Linked DNA regions of Coturnix japonica. The protein of the gene in region 1 binds, or shares a complex with, the protein of each later gene. Links are inferred from orthologs where the notes say so. Each region holds a gene or a part of one and is shown in the gene's direction. Other genes may lie near its edges.

Evidence for each region.
Region 2: the proteins of SERPINA10 (region 1) and PROZ are in contact, whole or in part, in a crystal structure (PDB 3H5C), measured with the Homo sapiens proteins. The link is inferred for Coturnix japonica from reciprocal best matches to the Homo sapiens genes SERPINA10 and PROZ. Residues at the interface, in NP_001094077.1 of Homo sapiens: Arg88, Lys89, Ser91, Met92, His94, Asp95, His257, Asp259, Lys260, Tyr261, Asn282, Phe283, Lys305, Met306, Asp308, His309, Leu310, Ala311, Leu312, Asp314, Tyr315, Leu316; in NP_003882.1 of Homo sapiens: Cys129, Pro131, Cys141, Leu142, Pro143, Ser151, His250, Met251, Arg252, Asp254, Ala257, Glu259, Asn260, Glu284, Lys285, Asp286, Phe287, His290, Leu291, Thr336, Thr337, Arg338, Arg390, Ser392, Leu393, Trp394, Gln397.

Annotation. Positions count from the first base shown.
Region 1 is NC_029520.1:41,271,757-41,276,110, reverse strand, and holds the start of SERPINA10 (protein Z-dependent protease inhibitor), read left to right. Parts: upstream 1-1,313; 5' UTR 1,314-1,418; intron 1,419-4,354. UniProt on the Homo sapiens protein: Inhibits activity of the coagulation protease factor Xa in the presence of PROZ, calcium and phospholipids. Also inhibits factor XIa in the absence of cofactors.
Region 2 is NC_029516.1:123,914,653-123,918,304, reverse strand, and holds the end of PROZ (vitamin K-dependent protein Z), read left to right. Parts: intron 1-53; coding exon 54-185; intron 186-1,330; coding exon 1,331-1,416; intron 1,417-1,495; coding exon 1,496-1,619; intron 1,620-2,073; coding exon 2,074-2,585; 3' UTR 2,586-2,839; downstream 2,840-3,652. UniProt on the Homo sapiens protein: Appears to assist hemostasis by binding thrombin and promoting its association with phospholipid vesicles. Inhibits activity of the coagulation protease factor Xa in the presence of SERPINA10, calcium and phospholipids.

The DNA of each region.
Region 1 (4,354 bases):
GAATAATGTTTACCAGCAACACACAACTCCTTTTTGCACCAAGTCCTGGATGCTCAGTTCCTTTATTGTCTTTCCAAAATAACATCCTTGGATCTGGCTAAGCTCCCACTTAAATTGCAAGCAGTGGATGTTCTTTTGTTGTTTGTTTTTGTTTGTTTGTTTCAATTCAATTGACAATTAGAGACAAATTCTGTAATGTCAAATTATAAGGCCTTATTTTTTAAATTTATTTTCTGCAATCCAAATCAGAATGAAACATTCTGTTTCATTTAGGAGTGTTGTTTTTATAGATGTAATTTAGGAGCATGAGGAATTCTGTGTTCACAGTTCACTGGGAAATAAGACAATGAACAAAATAGTGAAGAGTGATCATGCCCACACTACAGCAATTACTGAATAGACTACCTGTCTTAAAGTCGTGCCTTGCCCAACTAACAGTGCTCAAGCTTCAAGAACAACTTATCAGATCAGTTCAGGCAAGATCAAACTGGAAATTCTGGAGAACTTCTGCAGGAATACTATCATAGGACAAGGTGGAGTGGTTTTAAGCTCAAGGTAATAAGGTTTAGATTGAATGTCAGGGGGAAGTTCTTCACAGAGAGGTTGGTGAGGTGCTGGAACAGGCTGCCCAGAGGGGATGCAGATGCTTCATCCCTGGAGGTGTTCAAGGCTGGGTTGAATGGGACCCTGGGCAACCTGGTCTAGTACTAGGGCAGGAGGGTTGGAATATGATGATCCCTGGAGTTCCTTCCAACCCAAGCTATCCTATGATTCTATGAATACCAGATTGCCCCATTTGGTCATTTATAGGAAGAACATTGCTCTGTGTTTACCACTTGTTAATTCTCACATACTCATAAATACTTTACTGAATATGCTCTTGGAAAAGGAAATGAAGCCCCGGTCTCTCCTCTAAAAGGAAAGACCACACTGAAAGGATAGGGAGCTGACAACACCTCTGCAATGCTCAGCATCTCCTCCGTCCCTTTCTTCAGTTTGGCTTAGCCCCAGTGAATACTGATGTATCCTTTTATGAAATGTAACATTTTTAACAGGATTCGGATACTGAGTAGCTTAGGGCCTGTCTATAAAATAATTCTCATGGGCAATCCAATGTTCATCAGACATGTGTAGTCAAATCCCACTCGGCTGCTGAAGGGCTGGATGCAGAGAGTTTACTGTTCTTTTGCTTCCCATGAAAGAAATAACGTATTTACCGGAATATAACCCTCCCTCTTTATGCCATTTATGGGAAACACGTCACTCAGAGTTTATCAAGCAGTTAATTTATAACAGGCAAAGCCAGATGATCACTCTTTGGAAGAGCAAATATTTGTTGAAAATCTTCTATATGGGACAGTCACATTCACATCGTTTTTGAACGTAGTTGATTAAGTAACAGAGAAACTACCTAATAGGTAAGTTGAGATTTATCTGAATCATTTCAATTGTAAAGAGGATTATCTTACTATGTATGTTAATATTATTAAATATATTATATGTAGATAATATTTCTCATATATTCCCTAATTAGGATTATTTAAATGGTTATAGATCTTGATCAGTGTTATAATATATTGAATGTTTTTCTTACTATAGTAACTTCAAAAGAAAAAAAAAACTGAAAAAGTAACTTTATCATGTTTTTATTAACTAAATTGCCACTCCTTTTGTAAAGGAAGCTCTCAAAGCTAGTAATAATTCACTAATATCACTAATAACTCTAATTCACTCTAGCAATGTAAAAATGCAATCCTATAATGTGCAAAAATATCACCTTATTGTTACCAAAACTGTTTTATCCTAGTCCTAGAGGACATACTATATTTCTAACTGTTACTGAATGACAAAGCTGATGCAATATTTATGTTACGTTTTTGCAATCTCAGTCCTGCAATGACCGTATAGTGAAATGTTGAGGCTCTTAGTCCCATGATGTGTGTAACAAATGGGCATTTGTGTGTGCATGTGGAAGCAGAACTCCATCCCTGAGTGCTGAATGGTCTGGGACATGTATGTACACAAGGGCTGGGTCTGCCCATCTTCTCAGTCTGAAATCAATTTGTGCTGGGATGGCAGTGCAACCTGGCATTCCCCATTTGGTCTCCCCATCTTCCTGGGAAAACTTGGTGGCCTTTCTGAGCCAAGTATCAAGCAGCCCTTTCAGAACAAGATACAGCAGTGGCATCTGCCAAGGGCAGCGCTGTCAGGTGTTGCAGTGCACAGAGAAGATGGAGAAAATCACAGATTCATAGAATGGTTTGGGTTGGAAGGGACCTGAAAGCCTACCCATTTCCAGCTCCCTGCCATGGGCTGGTTGCCACCCATCCAACCTGTCTCTCTCTGAATGCTTCCAAGGATGGGGAGCATCCACAGCTTCTCTGGACAGTCTGTGCCAGTGCCCCACTTCCCTCTGTGATGGAATACTACCAGAAGCTATGCTTTCCAGTCCCTGTCTCTGATCTTGCAGCATTCAGGGTTACCCCTTGAAGAAGGGATGATTCCCTGGGCAAGATTCACACACTTTCAGGTCCATAGGAGTCCTTTTTGTTGCCACAGCATTGAGACAGAAGTGCCTTGTGCCTATCTAACCTCCCACAGAAGAAGGTGACTACACAATGAATAGAGGTGCTTGGCAATTGTAAGAGCTCTTAACAGCTTTGAGTTATAGTTGGTCGGGGAGAATAAGTGTCCCAAATCTGCAGAAGCAGCTAGTGCACCTTTTGCCAAGGCAGGAGATGAATTCAAGGCAAACCCTTCCTTACTCTGCTCCTGCTGAATCCAGACCTCCTAAGTGCCAGGATGTGCAGCATATCAGCTTAGATGAGGGCCAGCACATAGGGCTGAGAGCTGGGTTTTCATTTGACTTTTGGAGATTACTTCAAACACAGATTAACCAATCATGAATGCATTCATGATCTACATCTCACTGAAGACAAAGCAAGAGTTAATGGCAAAGAAAAATAAAGAAAAAATACAGCCACAGTAAATTGCATATTTTAGTGTTTCTTGACTGCCATACACTCAAGAGAAGGCACAAAATTCAGAGATCTCACTGCCTCCCCATTAAGTCATTACAGCCCATCTGTGTCACATCAAGTACAGAACGTGACCTATTATCTCCAAGAAAAATAGCACACCACCTGGCTGCCAAAAACACCCTGTGACTTGGCACCCAAATGTCTCTGTACTCGCATCAACGTACCTTTCTGAGACTAACTCCCACAGCCTGAATCAGGCAACTGTGAAATTCAGTTGAACTCTGAATAAATGGCAATCAAATAAAACCAGCTTTCCCATATGCCAAATCACAAATTGTACAATGATTGTTATAGAGCCTTAACTAAACAGCCATAGTTAATAGTTGCCATGTGTTTTCTAGATTGTTGAATTGCTTTAATTATGGGTCATACAATCAATATTTTCCTCTCAGGTTGGATTGTAGAAAAAAATTATTCACAAAAAGAGAGTGGAGATATTGGCACAGGCTGCTCAGTGAGGTGGTGGAGTCACTGTCCCTGGAAATGTTCAAGAAAAGGGTAAAGGTTGCACTGAGGGGCCATGAGTTGGTGTTTGGACTAAATGACCTTAGTGATCTTTCCAACCTTGATAGTTCTGTTTCTGTCTTTTTCACCTATTATCATGCCACTGCTACACACATGGATTCTGTGCAGGCTTAGTGGTCTTGTACATCCTGCTCAATCTGCAATGGGAAAATTCACCTGTATTCAAGACTTCTTTCATGGAGAGTAATTCAGTGCCACTTTATGGGAACAATATTCACACATCACTTTAATGGAAAGATGAATGATCAGCATATTTGCATTTCATGCTTGAAAAGCATATTTGCATGTTTGATAGTAAAGTTTGCCTAAGGCTTTTCTGGAAAACATGTCCAGATCTCCCCAAACATATTGTTTGGTGATGAGAGAACCTCTGCTAAATTTGCTCAGAATTCACAACATGTATAAATTTGTAATTGTTGAACAACTGTTTTGCCTTCGTGCTACTTGACACTGAAACACAGTACTTTCAGGCAGGATACAGCACTGACAAACCTGCTCCAGTATTTGCTGGACAGTGAAGCATAAAATGACAGGGAATCCCATGTCAGGTGATCAGAAGAATGATCTGAATGGAGTAATAAGCAACCTGTATCAGAAGGAAGTGAATTGAAATTATGCAATGCAATTGTTACTCATAATGACATTGTATTTCCAGTTCAGAACTTCATAAGCTTTCCAGGGCTTTGTGACTATAAGCAGTAACATGAAATTTCATGCTGACCAACTAGAAATAACTGTACATACTAGGCTGTCAGCAGTACATTAGCAGCTATAGCACTGTCCTCTAC
Region 2 (3,652 bases), on another chromosome or scaffold:
TGGACCCTTTGACTCTTGGTTACTAATGCTTTTTCTCTGTCTGCTCCATTCAGCTAAAAATGAATGCCGGCACCAAGGGAAAGAAGGATGCCAGCACTTCTGCTACCCAGGAAGTAATTCCTACCATTGCTCCTGCGCTGATGGCTATGAGCTTGGGAAGGACAAAAAACAGTGCATCCCATTAGGTAGGTGTGAGTGTGGAAAATAGAGGACCCACACTTGGTGCTTGGGTGGGCAGAAACATTACTGGCCTCTCAAAATGGGGAGAGAAAAAGGAGGAATCTAAGGATCACTACCAAAGATGCATGAGCAGCAGTAAAATAAGCAATATTTGATCAGAACTTTTGAACATGAGTGTGCAGCGAACACTTGCATCACTCTACACTACACTTAACCCAATGTTACAAGTTTTCCACTCTTACTTTTTTAACCTCAGTAACAAGTAACTGATATCCTGCCTGTTTGAGACTGAGGTTTGGTTGATTCGGATCAGGCATGTGATGGTATGATAAATGAAGGGCAGAACTTGCTGCCATGTTAGTTTGAAGTGGTAGCTCTCTTCATTGTTTCATTCAAAGTACCTCATTCAACCTCATCTCCTTTTATGCAAGGCCTACTAAAAGCAAAGTAGAATGCTTGGTCCCTGTCTATGCTAACAAGTAGGAGAGCCAAATACAGTTTGCAGCTGTGGCTTTTGATGAAGATTTAATGATCACAGCAAGTGCTCAACTCAGATGGGTTTTACTTCAGACAGCTCTAATTTGGTAAGGAGGGCTAAATGCCATTATCTGTTAGAGCACATGGTTACAGGGGCTTAGTTCTGATTCAGCTTCACCTGAACAGAATTTGGTTTACGTGATCCAAGAGGAGAACTCAAGGTGTCAGAAGGTGTTGTGAATGCAAATTAACTGAGATCTACTTGAAATGCAGGCTCCCCCTCTGAACCAGAACACGAAGGCATCCCCCTTATAGTCTTAACTTCAGAAATGAAGGCTGAGAATTACCCTGCCCAGATACGAAGATGAGGAAGCAACCTGTGATGACAGTTGGCTGGAGAGGAAGCTCTGTTCCTAAGTCACAGGCAGTGAAATCTGGTCACCACAAGCCTAACACAGTGACCAAACCATCCAGTGCCACCAGACAACACATGTTAAATTAATTATTCTGATTTTCACCAGCTGAGAAATTGTCCTTTACCCAAACACTACAGCATATAAGGAATGAATAATATACAGATAGTTTTTGTCTTGAAATGTTACAGCATGAGTTGTTTTGTTTTGTTTTGGGGGGTGTTGTTTTTGTTGTTGTTGTTTGTCTGTTTGTTTGCTAGATCAATGTGCATGTGGCACACTTCAAGACAGCGACAACCTGATTGGTGAAACCCCAAAGGAACATGGCAAACAATTTCCTTGGCAGGTATTTCTAGCAGTTCATGAAGTCTATTACTCAACTTCCTGTGGACAGAACTACTTATCTTCCTTTTGTATTTTCTTAGGTCCTGTTGCTAAACTCAGAAGGGAAAGGTTTCTGTGGAGGAGTGCTGCTGAAAAGCAATTTTGTACTGACCACGGCACAGTGTGCCCTTCTGCACAATCACTTTAAAATCAGGGTTGGCGCTGGTAGGTGATCAAACATTTTCTTTGGTTGTAGCACTTTTCAGCATGGATAAGCTAAACTGGGTTCATTTAGAGTTCACTTGCTCTGCACCCCCAAGGAAAGAAACTACTCGTGCCCAAATTCAGTTCTATTGGTGGGTGTTTATCCTTCCCATCTGAATTATCACAGTACCACAGAATCACAGTCTTGTGCGGGTTGGAAGGGACCTCAGAGATCATCGAGTCCAACCCCCGGGATTCGAGCCTCCTGTGTAGCAGAGCGGCACTTACGGATGCATCTACCCAAGACTGAAGCTGTCATTCTTAGTTCACCTTTAACATACGTGTTTCAAGAAAGCATCTTTCTCTAGCGTACATACTCCTCAGCACAACTAGGCAGCTGTTACCAATGTGCATGCAGTTATCAAGTCTCTGGTAATTTCTTCCTAAGAGCAGTCAACATGTCATTGCTTCACAGGGTGTAACAGAACAAGCGGAGCTGAGAAGATCATGGAAATTCATGAGAAACACATACACATCCGGTATGATGAAGACACCGGTGAGAATGACATTGCACTCCTACAACTCCAAGAGCACATTGAGTGCAGTAACCACCAGCTTCCTGTATGCATCCCTGAAAGAGACTTTGCAGAACACATTTTGATTCCCAAATTGGCTGGTACAGTCACTGGTTGGAAAATGGAAGGTGGTGAATTTCAAAGCGACGGGTTGCAGGTTTCATATCTCCCCACCGAGGACTGTGAACAAATACTCAACGTAAGCCTCACAAACAGGCAGTTCTGTGGACACAGCCAGGAGGCCATAGACAAACAGCTGGCTGGAGGGAGCTTTATTGCCACTGTGTATAAAGGCACGTGGTTTCTGACTGGTATCCTGGGACCTTGGCCACTAGAAGATGCTGACAGGAAAACATTTTTATTTACCAACACTGCTAGGTACATGATATGGTTTAAACAAAAAATGAAGTAAGAAGCAAACACAACCAATCCTCCAACACCAAACCCCTACCAATCGCTGCAAGGAAACACGAGGAAGCAACCAGTAGAGCCACCTGGCTATCACAATTTGCAGCAGTGGAAGTTGCAATGATGATACCCTATTTAACTCCAGTTCGTACAGAAAAGCCCATCTGTCTTTCCTTCCTCTGTTGACACACAGTACTGTAAAAGCCATGACGGAAAACCTAGCTGCTTTGCTAATAAACAGACTGAACTTTAAGTTTACTAAACTGTTTGCTCTAAAACTGAAAAAGTACTAATGCTTTTCTAGTCTTTTAAATGTTGCTAGAGTAAGTCTTTCTCATACTTGCTATCCTTAGGTCTGATTGAAGAAACCCATACTCTTACTTCAGCATTTGTAGAAGTACAATTTATAAAGACAAGGGACACTCCAAGCATTTAAATGTGTATGTTGATAAAGGATCTGATTCTCTCATCACACTGAACATTTTTCTTGGTAGCTGTGTTTTGCCGTAGGAATTATGTCTGCTTCACTGTATACTTCAGTTAGCGAGTAAAATAAAATCAGACTGTCAAAGAGGGGGGAAAAATGTTTTATTTTCTTTAAAAAAATAAACAACTAAAAACTGAAAAAACACTAGAACTATCCCCTCATAACCAACAGGTACAATGTAACCCTCCTCTTTCCTACTTCCAAAAGAGAACAAAAAACCCTGAACAAACACACAACAGAAGGAACACTTAAAACATTGGACCCGGTGGCAGTCTCTTCCCAGGAAGCAGAATAAAACAGAATACAGGTAAGTTATTTAGATGCACTCTTTTGTTCATCACAGTAAATTTTAAACAAAACATTAAAGGAATTTTAATGGTAGGACAACCAACAAAGCTATCCCTGAGTACCTACAGGCAAACATCCCACATATACTTGAACTTCTATGTATCAATGACATAGACAAGCTTTTGGCGTCAAGAGCAACTTCTCTCGTTCTTAGAGAAGGCTTGAAGAACATACTTGGGCCAGCAAGATCATCGAAGAGATTTAGAAAATGGGAATCATAAAAAGAAAATATTACT